Schizosaccharomyces pombe: one gene and its partners. The gene in region 1 interacts genetically with each later gene. Each region holds a gene or a part of one and is shown in the gene's direction. Other genes may lie near its edges.

The links.
Region 2: mutations in gmh2 (region 1) and otg3 impair growth when combined (synthetic growth defect), as found in Schizosaccharomyces pombe (one study listed by BioGRID).
Region 3: mutations in gmh2 (region 1) and otg2 impair growth when combined (synthetic growth defect), as found in Schizosaccharomyces pombe (one study listed by BioGRID).

The regions. Positions count from the first base shown.
Region 1 is NC_003424.3:167,029-171,957, reverse strand, and holds gmh2 (alpha-1,2-galactosyltransferase Gmh2), read left to right. Parts: upstream 1-1,902; 5' UTR 1,903-2,107; coding exon 2,108-3,148; 3' UTR 3,149-4,192; downstream 4,193-4,929. Other genes in the region: ATP-dependent chromatin remodeller/ubiquitin-protein ligase E3 Rad8, read left to right, coding at 1-986; alpha-1,3-galactosyltransferase Otg1, read left to right, coding at 4,423-4,929.
Region 2 is NC_003423.3:3,118,337-3,122,300, reverse strand, and holds otg3 (alpha-1,3-galactosyltransferase Otg3), read left to right. Parts: upstream 1-1,775; 5' UTR 1,776-1,943; coding exon 1,944-3,074; 3' UTR 3,075-3,464; downstream 3,465-3,964. Other genes in the region: alpha-1,3-galactosyltransferase Otg2, read left to right, coding at 1-1,015; proteasome core particle subunit beta 1 Pre3, read right to left, coding at 3,674-3,964.
Region 3 is NC_003423.3:3,120,271-3,124,191, reverse strand, and holds otg2 (alpha-1,3-galactosyltransferase Otg2), read left to right. Parts: upstream 1-1,743; 5' UTR 1,744-1,787; coding exon 1,788-2,906; 3' UTR 2,907-3,421; downstream 3,422-3,921. Other genes in the region: tif306 (translation initiation factor eIF3f), read left to right, coding at 386-1,294; alpha-1,3-galactosyltransferase Otg3, read left to right, coding at 3,835-3,921.

The DNA.
Region 1 (4,929 bases):
TCCTCGGATTACTTTTAAGATTAAGACAGGCGTGTTGTGACCCTGTGCTTCTTTCCAATATGACCATTAACAGTGAAACGTTTGATGATTTTGAGTTTTCGGTTGAGCAATTTAATTCTTTAATTAATCAATTTGTTGTCACTGGAAAGCCCATTCCTTCAGATATTTTAAAAATTGATACACTGAAGTCTTTTGAAGCATTGATAACGGAATGTCCCATATGTTGTAATGAACCAATTCAAAATCCCTTGTTATTGAACTGCAAGCATGCTTGTTGCGGAGATTGTTTGTCAGAACATATTCAGTATCAAAAAAGAAGAAACATAATTCCTCCGCTTTGTCATACATGTCGTCAACCCTTCAATGAGCAAGATGTCTATAAACCTTTTTTTGTCAAAAATAACGGAACACAGTCTACGCTTTTAGTCGGTGAGGAAGTAAAATGGAAATATTGGAATAGGCTACAATCAGTGAAACTTAATGGCCTTTTAGGACAATTGCGTCAATTAACTCATAGTTCTGAACCTGAAAAGGTCGTTATCTTTTCACAGTTTACCACATTCCTGGATATTATCGCAGACGTTCTCGAGTCAGAGAAGATGGGGTATGCTAGATTCGATGGTACCATGTCACAACAAATGAGGTCGACGGCTTTAGAGACATTTCGAAATGATCCTGATGTTAACGTGCTGATTATCTCTTTAAAGGCAGGCGGGGTTGGTTTAAACCTTACTTGTGCCAACCATGTTTTTATTATGGATCCATGGTGGAGCTGGTCAGTGGAAGCACAGGCCATCGATCGTATTCATCGTTTAGGACAGGAAAAGCCTGTATTTGTGACGAGATATATTGTACGTGATACTGTTGAGGAAAGGATGCTCAAAATACAAGAACGCAAAAATTTTATTACTGGGACCCTGGGCATGTCGGAAGGAAAGCAGCAGGTTCAGTCAATTGAAGACATCAAAATGTTGTTTGAATATTAACAACGGTTTCACCAAGCCGATTAAAAGCTATCGTAAAAAAAAAGTATTTTCATATTATGCATATGAAATGCAATTGCTACCGTGGTCGTTGTCATGACTGTCAAATTCTAAGAGAGTATGTGATAAACAAACTGCGTTACAAGATAAATTATAAACTATCTACACCCCTTGGATTTGTTGATTCACGTCTATCACTAATGAATGCGAAATAGTCGAATTCGGTGCATAAGTAACAAAAGTATTAAGGAACGACAGTTTACCCTGGAGCTATACAATCTAAAGTAGTGAATGTGTAATACTTTATTCCATTTTTTGAACTCATAAATTTCCTTGGATGACTTACTTTTTTGTATTCATGATGTTGTTGCTGAGTATCATGGGCAAGGGAATATAAGTTTTAGCTGCTGCAGTGTAAAGGCTGGCTAATGTTTTGTTCAGTATATTAGAGATAGGTATAATTGTTAACTTTTATTCGATTTTTTTATTATTGTTAACCTTGTTAAATAGTAGTAGCGATTGTGATGGAAATCCGGTCACAGAAAGAAAGCGATGTGTATAATTCAACTATATTGGTCAGCCTCTCTCTTTGTTGAAAAGTCGAAGTAGTTGTTTAATAAGGTCAAGATATTTTGATGAAATCAGTGACACAAAATTAAATCCGAATATTTTAGCTAAGTTTTCATTCCATAAATTTCATTTTTCTAATAGCTACCCGTAGAAAGTTTTATAAGCAAGTAACGTGCCGGTTGCTGGGTTATAAAAATTTAGGCAAGGTTACGGTTGTCTCTACCATCGGCAAAGGAGCCGACGTTAATAAAATATTTAACAAAGCCTTTAAAAAATTAACGATAGCTAGTCAAAGGAAGCTTAACGCGTATTCAGCCTCATTAAGACAATCAGGAAGCTTTTTTTTACCATCAGCATATACCTCTAACCCTTTGATTTATTTTTATATCTCGAGATTTCGTTCGTTATTTTATAGGTCGTTTCGATAAGACCTTAATACAATCTGATTTAGTGGTTGTTTAAGATTTCGGAAAAGCCTTTTTTTCAAAAAAAGTTTTCCAGTTATTGTTTCATTATTTCTAATTGATTTACTGAAGAATTGTTATAACCTAAAGATGGCACTTATGTTATCCAGGATTCCACGTCGTTTTTTTTTCTTATTTTTAACGGTCGGCTTGATTGCTGGCGCGTTTCTATACTCGTTGATATATTTTGTGGACGTTGATTTGGTGTCGAAGGTTAACCAGTTGTATGATCAGCAAATTGCACCCATGCTCTCCGATGCTATTGGCACTCCATCCGTTAATCACTCGTTTGAGTTGGCGCCGTTAGACTCTCATTTGGTGGCCACAAGCACTACATTCCACGAGGCGTCATACGAGTCAGAGCCTCAGCAAAATCCTGCCAGTCAAAATATTGTCTTATTACTAGTTAGTGATGGACACACTTCTTACAATAATGGAGCTAATACGTTTGAAGAAGCTATACAGAACAGAGTTGACTATAGTACCAAACAAAACTACAACTTTGAGTATGTCAATGTTACTGGCCTCCCTATTCCCGCCGTTTGGTCCAAGATGCCCGCCGTCTTACAAACTATGAAGAAATACCCCAAAGCGGAATGGATCTGGTTGTTGGATCAGGATGCAATTATTACTAATACCCATCTTTCCCTTCAAGACTCCTTTTTGAAACCTGAGAACTTGCAAAAGACCTTAATTACTAATACCATCCTCACTAAACGGCCTATAAATGCTAACGGGGATTTGCGTTATACACCAAGTAATTATAGTTTAAAAGATATCGAAAATCTCATGGTCATAATCTCACAGGATCACAATGGATTAAACGCAGGTAGTATCTTGTTCCGTAATTCACCTGCTACTGCCTTGTTTTTGGATATTTGGACAGATCCTGTTGTTGCAGAATGTGCGAAAGCCAATAATGAACAAGACATGCTTGGATATTTGATTTCTAAGCATTCACAACTTGCTTCGCTGGTTGGCCTTATTCCTCAAAGAAAAATAAATGCTTTTCACGAAGGTCCGGAAAATATGGAATGGCAAAAAGGTGATTTGGTAATTCACTTTGCTGGATGTTGGGTTGAAAACCGCTGCGATGAACTATGGCAAAAGTTTTACGCCTTGATTGACTAAGTTGCTTATTCATTATATCCGTCTGTTTAATTTGTTTGTGTTTTAAAAAATTTTATATATATAAACAAAGCGCCGTATAATTTTCCGTCAATCTTCCTTTCTTTATCTGAATCTCTAATAATGTTTACTATTTTTTAATCTTTACATACCTAATTAATATAGCGGTTGTGCCATAGCAATCAAAGTTTCAGGTTAGTTTTTTATAGCGAGATATCTGGGAGTTTTGTTTTACACAATCGTCCATCAATAATTGTTATATATTGTATATATTTCACATTGACTTTGAAGCTGTTTCTGTTGGTTCAACTAATTTGCTTTGGCAATTTACCAATGCAATATTGAAGATTGGAATAACAGTTTGGCGTTAATAAATCTTTTTAATAATTTGCATTTCACCGCAGCTGCCATTTTCTGTTAAATGCTGATAGAAGTTTTATTGAATCATTCGTGTCGGATTATACTAAGTTTTTATTTATCTTGTTTTTTGGCCCTACAAAGTATTGGTATGTCCTTATTTTATATTGATTACACTGGCTTTTGGCCTTATAAAGATATAGATTAGTTGCTAAGTCTAAAAGATGTATTTTTTAACGGTGGTTCCATTACGTCTGTGCACCCACTGTTTACACTTGTGTCTTTACAAACCTAGAAGCATTTTCCGATTAATGAGGTCTATCAGGTCAAGGAGAAAGAATATTTGAATAGATTTATCGACAAAATATATTTCGTTAAATTTACACAATATTTACTTTACCAATAAGCTAAATGGTATTTCCAATACTTTTCCAGCTAACAGTCAGATTTTTCACTGTTTGAAACAACTTCACCAAATTAATTCATTAGTGTCAATTTCTATTACATGCTTAAGCTCATAATTTTCAACATCCAGATAGCTCGAAAGTTGACACCATTACACACAAACTAAGATGATTGTGAAAAAACAAAGCGTTAGGATTTGTAAAAGGCAATTCCACAATTTGAATTACAATACTGTAACTGAATATAGCGCGGCACATGGTACAAACAACGTGCTGGTAATAAATTGACAAATGCAGAGCAACCCGCGTGATGAAACATAAATCTCGGATATTTTTTCTTTAAAGGGTTGTTAACGCAAGTCGTTTAAGGGTAAAAGAAATAAATAAATTTTAGAGGGTAACATCCTCATAAAGGGAGTCATCTTTAGAGCCTTTTTTCATTTTTTTAAGGCTTTCGAAAATTTCACGTGTCTCAAATTCTATTGTTTCAGCGGTTCGTTGAATTAATCTCTTATCATGTCTCGAATTTCACTTTCAAATTTTTTATCTCTTCCGCGTTACAAATTCCTGTTGTTTTCTGTGGTTTTGATTATTGTGATGACAACCTTAGTGTTTAACGGACACGATTATAAGCAAACCCTTAATGACCGGCTTACTTCATTAAAAAACAACTTTGTTGAGGAAAATGATAATGCCGTCTTAAAAGAAGAGCCTGGCAAATATACGTATATGAGTTTGTTTACTATGCCTTCTACTGAAGAGGATTACTACTTCAACGCTACTAGGGTTTTAATTCACCGATTGAAATATCATCCTACTACCAAAAGTAAATACCCTATCCATATCCTTGCACTCCGTGGAGTAGATGAGTGGAAAATTGAACGTTTTCGAAAGGATGGTGCTTCTGTGATTGTTATAGACCCCATTGCTTCATCGGATATTGTATACGATACATCCTCATTTAGTCAAGAAATATCTGCTAGATATGAACAAATGTTTTCGAAGTTGCGAATTTTCGAACAA
Region 2 (3,964 bases), on another chromosome or scaffold:
CAATCATAGTCCAGAAATACAAAGGTCAGTTTACACACTGACAGGGTTGGCGCCCTCTTCTAAGATGGCATTTGTAACTATGCTTACTGTACGCGCCGCTAATGGGGAAAACGAAGTAGAAAATACGCAACAGGATTGGTATTATAATTCAACTAGGCTTCTCGTTCACCGACTTGTCAAATTTAAACCTACGAAAAGCAAGTATCCCGTTGTAGTGCTAGCCATGAAGGGAATTGATCAGTGGAAGCTTGATCAATTGCAGGAAGACGGAGCTATTGTTAAAGTAGTCGATCCACTATATGCTCATGAAGTGGTTGACGATGTCAATGACATTGCCCTACTGGATTCCCGATGGAGTATGATGTTTACCAAGTTGAGAGTTTTCGAAATGTACGAATATGATAGAATATGTTTTCTTGATAGTGATATTTTGCCTATTAAAAAAATGGACAAAGTTTTTGATGTTCACCAACTCTCCTATAGTAAGGATTCTGTTCTGTTTCCTCCCACCCTATTCTACAAGCCTAGGCGCAGCATTTTTTGGAGACGCTTTACAGAAGAGTTTGCAGCTTACGGGCTGACAAGAGACGATCTTTATCCCTACGTTTTCGCTGCTGTGTCCGATCCAGGTATGTGGCATGAAACTCCTCCTCCTTTTAAAGATTATTTTAATGCTGGTCTATTCGTCTTTAAGCCATTGAAGGCACATTATAAAAGGTTAATGGCATTAGCAAGGTTTCCAAAATTGTATGATAATGCAAACATGATGGAGCAAAGTTTGCTAAATTTTGCATACAATTCAGCAGGTGCTTTTCCATGGGAGTCACTTGATTGGACTTTTAACGGACTTTGGGCTAGAAAAAATGACTTACCATATCTAAAAGCAGTTCATGGAAAACATTGGCAACCAGAAGGAAGTCTAGGTTATGATGAAGACACATCCAAGCTATGGTGGGATGCGTTTCAAGAAATGCAAACGTATCATGACCAACAACGTAATGCTGATTTATATTAAACAGATGAAAGCAATTTTCATGTCGTGATCAAGTAAAAAATAAGGCGGCTTTTGACTTTTAAGAAGCAGTTATTTTCATTTAATGTATTGCTGACAACACGTACTGTTGAAAGGCTATCTCATTTTTACAGTCATTCTAAAATAATTTGTGTTTCCTCCGTCCTTTTTTAAAACCACTATACTATTCAAATTCATATACACGATCGATGGGATTCTGGATACAGGTAAACCATAATCAAAAAAATAGCTTCCTCTCTGTATGCAAATTAGATCACGTATGTTTAAAACTCACTGAAAGTTCAATGGTTTCAAGAAATTTTGCTCCTTCTTAAAAAATTCCTAATTAGTGTAAAGAATCAAGTGTTAGTCCTATCATCAATTTTAAAATTGTAAGCAAACATGTTATAAATGCTTTTTCTTTGACCAAAGGAAAACCAACGGATTTATATAAAAATTGCTAATTAGTGAGCATACGTATCCTTAGCATGTTTTTCATTTTTAGATTTCAATAAGACATTTGAAAATGTTTTAGGTAGCAAATCTATTTAAAAGTTGTTTTAAATATATATATCAAAGAAGGCTTGGTTTTAGATAGAGTGAAGATGGGATAGAAAATATCAATAGCAAGTAATTGATAAATTTTTTAAACCTTTTAATGTCAAATAACAAGTACTGTAAACTCAAATAATCTTAAAATTTTACATGAAAAACTATACTTCGTACGCATTACATCGTACCTTTAGTCTCCTAAATTGTAGTCAGCCACTACCAAACTCAATAATACAAACTACATTATATTTATTGTATTAAACCTAGCAAGTCTTAACGAGATATAGTCAGTTATAATCCTAGGGTTTTTATTATTCTGGTGGGGATTTTATAGCTATAAACGAAGTTGCGGAAAGCGATAAAATTTGCTTTATAGAATATGAATTTCTTTAAGCGGTTACGCTTACATACCAGGCTTCTACTTCGCTCAAAATTTGTCTTGATTTCACTAATTCTTTTGCTGAATTTGGGTTTACTTTTAGGGATCCAAATATATCGGGATCCCGCATTTCCTGGATCGCTAATTTCATCGGCAGCCTATGAATTTGGGCTTCATAAGCATGGCCCATATTATAACGATAATGTAGATGATTTAAAAAGGTATACATTTATGGGCTTACTTACCCTTCCTACTTCAGAACATGATGTATACTTCAATGCTACTCGAGTACTAGTATACAAGCTGAAACATCATCCTGAAACGAAAAGTAAATATCCCGTTCATGTCCTTGTTATGAAAGGGGTTGATGAATGGAAAATTGAACGATTGCGACTTGATGGGGCCGAAATAATTATGGTCGATCAAATTAAAACTGAAGACTTAATTGAAAGTGGTTTGTCTATTGGCATGGGCAGTTATCGTTATCAATACATGTTCACAAAACTCAGTGTATTTGAGCAAACACAGTTTGATAAGGTCTGCATTCTGGATAGCGATCTCCTAGTATTGAAAAACATGGATGACATTTTTGATACTCCCTATGTTTATGAATCTCCTGCAGAACCCGATATGTTTAGCTTTCCTATCTTTAAGAAGCCAGATGATGAAGAGGATTATCAGTTTAGCGACAATTTCGATGCCTATGGTGCTCCTCGCTCAGAATTCTATCCATATCTTCTTGGCGCATGTGACGATCGTAACCCTGGACATGCGACGCCCCCAGAAGAATCTGAAACTTTTAATGCCGGGCTGATGCTTGTTCATCCCAGTAGTCTTCATATGCATAGGATTAAGAAGATAGCACGTTATCCTTATATGTATGACGATGCTAGAATGATGGAACAAAGTTTATTAAATCTTGCTTATAATAAATATGGTTGGTTTCCCTGGACGAGGCTCGATTTTTCATATAATGGAGTTTGGGTCACCGAAGAGGACTTACCCTATCTTCGTGCTGCTCATGGTAAATTTTGGGAATATGACAACACGGAGTTTCCCCAAATTTTGACTGCCGAGTGGCATAAAGCGTTCGGAGAGTTGCTGGCTTTTCATGACTATGTTGTAGAATAAAAAATGAAGGGGGGCGTTTATCTTTAATGTTTTCATGCTTCATTATTTTTTTGTCCCACTTCCATTCCTTGACCTGTAACTACGGTGTACCTGTTGAAGAGCTTAATACATATCTCACCGTGTATATTCTTACCGTTAAAGTTTGTTCTTTTCACATAATTTCTGCATTCAATTTTAAACAAAAAAAGACACATCATATTTTATTCTTCTTTAGAAGGGTCTACCGGTGTTCGGACTAATTTTATATTTTACATGGCTGATTACAATTTTCTTGTATGAAGCTGATAATCAAAATTTTAAATGTGCTTGCAGGCATCTTACAACATTTTTACTCTTATGACAATTACATAGGACTCATAACAATAATATTCTTTCACTATCAACAATATAACTACACTTCGGTAGTTAACTGTAACTATAAAAAATCTTTCTATTTTAATCATCACAAAGACTTATCTCACTGACCAGAAAAGTAACTTTTCTTCATGACCTTGCACTCCAAAAGCTACAAATAATGAGACAGGCATTAATAAGGTCAAGTCTAGCATAAGCATTGGGTATCAGTATAGTCACGTAAAATAAAAGGAAACGTGAAGTACTTAGTGAGTAAATACGGGAATAGGGTTAGCAGTATCAATGGCAAAAAATTTACGCTCCATTCCATCTTTATTTAAAATGACCATTCGAATGGTACCACCACTGCTGCCATCGCGTTCCATGGCTAAAGCAACAGCGTTCTTTAAAAATTCAACAGCCTCCTCTTGGGTCATATTTTCGCGAAAGTTAGCATCGCAAAATCCATAAATAAAAGCAGAACCACTTCCTCCAATAGCTAAAGGTTGCTTATGCAAACTACCACCTAACGGAATACTGTAAACATCTCCCCCAGT
Region 3 (3,921 bases), on another chromosome or scaffold:
TATTAGTCAAGAAAAAGCAAACTGCTTTTTTGGGTTTTATGTTTACACTTTTTTGCTAACCGAATTTTTTGAACATTGTATATATATATAAATGATTTTTAACCAGAGAATGTACAAATGTAAATAGTTATAGAATTTTGAATAAAGAGTTTCTCATTATTGTACGTACAAATGAGACATTGTTAAGGAGATTTTTTAGATTATTCAACGCAACTGAAAATACACTTTCTTAAATGGTAAACCTTAGAAGTTAGGCGAAAAATAGTGTCTTCAATTTAACGAATTCTATGAGACTGTAAACTAGTACAGTAAAATTATTATTGATTGGGGAACAATACCAGATCTACCTACCTGAGAGTAGCCAACAACGTGAAAATTTTAAAAAATGGCTTTGGGGACTAAGCACGTACTCCATCTCACAAAACCGTCTTCCAGGTCAAGTCCTTTGAACATTGTCATTGAACCAGCAGTGCTTTTTTCTATCCTTGACCATTCAACCCGGAAAAGTGAAAATAATCAACGTGTTATCGGTACACTTTTGGGAACACGTTCTGAAGATGGCCGAGAAATTGAGATTAAAAGTTGTTTTGCAGTTCCTCATAATGAGAGCAGTGAGCAGGTAGAAGTTGAAATGGAATATCATCGTGCGATGTACCATTTACACCTCAAGGCTAACCCTCGTGAAGTTGTCGTTGGTTGGTATGCTACTTCTCCTGATTTAGATGCTTTCAGTGCACTGATTCAAAATTTATATGCTTCTCCTGCTGAACCCGGAACTGCTCCACTAGGAACGTATCCTCATCCCTGTGTTCACCTTACTGTCAACACAGATGTTAGCAGTCCCCTTGCCATCAAGACTTACGTTTCTTCACCAGTAGGTATTACAGAGCGCCTTGCTGACAGCTGTGCATTCGTCCCTACCCCTTTTACCATTCGTGATGACGAGGCAGTCCGTTCTGGTTTGAAAGCTGTAGCTGCTCCTAAGAATGACCCATCTAGACTTGCTAGCCTATTCACAGATCTCCAGCAACTTCGAAGATCAACCTTGGAGCTTTTATCTATGATTGAAAGAGTTTCCGATTATGTGCAAAACGTAATTGATGGTTCTTCGCCTGCTAATGTTGCTGTCGGTAGATATTTGATGAAGTGCTTTAGTTTAATTCCTTGCGTAGAAGGCCAAGATTTTGAAAAAATTTTTTCATCACATCTTCAAGATGTTTTGGTTGTAGTTTATCTCGCAAATACCTTACGTACTCAAGTGGATATTGCTTCCCGTCTTAATTTGCTTCCCTAAGCAATTGTTATAACCTAAAAAATCCGGACAATTTCTAACAGTTGTTCGATAGCCCTTTTTTCAAGTCACCGTTATTTTATCCTTTTTTCACACTGGCTGTTAACCCTCAGTGGAAGCAACTGTCTTTATCTCGTCATTCACCCATTTCGACATAGTTTGAGTAGCTTAGCTTGTCGGTAACTATTTAGTATTATACTATAATTGGTTTAGGTTAAACGTCTTATTAAATAAGAGAAAATTTTAAGTCAGAGTCATGTATCTTAACATTTCTTATAGTTAAAATAGTAAGCTTGTTTAATTTTTAAACATTTGATGTTTTTACGTTATAAAGTCGATTTAATTATGTTATTTGTTTTTCAGGGTGTTGAGTTTGTTTTGGTATTGAAAGTAAGCAAAATGTGTATGATGCACCAACAAACATTAAGGGAGTATGTAGAGTAATTCTCTCCGAAAGCACCACCATTTTATAATTTGGCAATCAATTGCCATTAAAATGCGTTTATATTTTAGTGCTTTTCGCCATCCCAAACGACTAGGACTGTGTTTACTGATTACCTTGAGCATTATTTTATTAGGTTGGCAATGTGTTTTGCTATACAATCATAGTCCAGAAATACAAAGGTCAGTTTACACACTGACAGGGTTGGCGCCCTCTTCTAAGATGGCATTTGTAACTATGCTTACTGTACGCGCCGCTAATGGGGAAAACGAAGTAGAAAATACGCAACAGGATTGGTATTATAATTCAACTAGGCTTCTCGTTCACCGACTTGTCAAATTTAAACCTACGAAAAGCAAGTATCCCGTTGTAGTGCTAGCCATGAAGGGAATTGATCAGTGGAAGCTTGATCAATTGCAGGAAGACGGAGCTATTGTTAAAGTAGTCGATCCACTATATGCTCATGAAGTGGTTGACGATGTCAATGACATTGCCCTACTGGATTCCCGATGGAGTATGATGTTTACCAAGTTGAGAGTTTTCGAAATGTACGAATATGATAGAATATGTTTTCTTGATAGTGATATTTTGCCTATTAAAAAAATGGACAAAGTTTTTGATGTTCACCAACTCTCCTATAGTAAGGATTCTGTTCTGTTTCCTCCCACCCTATTCTACAAGCCTAGGCGCAGCATTTTTTGGAGACGCTTTACAGAAGAGTTTGCAGCTTACGGGCTGACAAGAGACGATCTTTATCCCTACGTTTTCGCTGCTGTGTCCGATCCAGGTATGTGGCATGAAACTCCTCCTCCTTTTAAAGATTATTTTAATGCTGGTCTATTCGTCTTTAAGCCATTGAAGGCACATTATAAAAGGTTAATGGCATTAGCAAGGTTTCCAAAATTGTATGATAATGCAAACATGATGGAGCAAAGTTTGCTAAATTTTGCATACAATTCAGCAGGTGCTTTTCCATGGGAGTCACTTGATTGGACTTTTAACGGACTTTGGGCTAGAAAAAATGACTTACCATATCTAAAAGCAGTTCATGGAAAACATTGGCAACCAGAAGGAAGTCTAGGTTATGATGAAGACACATCCAAGCTATGGTGGGATGCGTTTCAAGAAATGCAAACGTATCATGACCAACAACGTAATGCTGATTTATATTAAACAGATGAAAGCAATTTTCATGTCGTGATCAAGTAAAAAATAAGGCGGCTTTTGACTTTTAAGAAGCAGTTATTTTCATTTAATGTATTGCTGACAACACGTACTGTTGAAAGGCTATCTCATTTTTACAGTCATTCTAAAATAATTTGTGTTTCCTCCGTCCTTTTTTAAAACCACTATACTATTCAAATTCATATACACGATCGATGGGATTCTGGATACAGGTAAACCATAATCAAAAAAATAGCTTCCTCTCTGTATGCAAATTAGATCACGTATGTTTAAAACTCACTGAAAGTTCAATGGTTTCAAGAAATTTTGCTCCTTCTTAAAAAATTCCTAATTAGTGTAAAGAATCAAGTGTTAGTCCTATCATCAATTTTAAAATTGTAAGCAAACATGTTATAAATGCTTTTTCTTTGACCAAAGGAAAACCAACGGATTTATATAAAAATTGCTAATTAGTGAGCATACGTATCCTTAGCATGTTTTTCATTTTTAGATTTCAATAAGACATTTGAAAATGTTTTAGGTAGCAAATCTATTTAAAAGTTGTTTTAAATATATATATCAAAGAAGGCTTGGTTTTAGATAGAGTGAAGATGGGATAGAAAATATCAATAGCAAGTAATTGATAAATTTTTTAAACCTTTTAATGTCAAATAACAAGTACTGTAAACTCAAATAATCTTAAAATTTTACATGAAAAACTATACTTCGTACGCATTACATCGTACCTTTAGTCTCCTAAATTGTAGTCAGCCACTACCAAACTCAATAATACAAACTACATTATATTTATTGTATTAAACCTAGCAAGTCTTAACGAGATATAGTCAGTTATAATCCTAGGGTTTTTATTATTCTGGTGGGGATTTTATAGCTATAAACGAAGTTGCGGAAAGCGATAAAATTTGCTTTATAGAATATGAATTTCTTTAAGCGGTTACGCTTACATACCAGGCTTCTACTTCGCTCAAAATTTGTCTTGATTTCACTAATTCTTTTGCTGAAT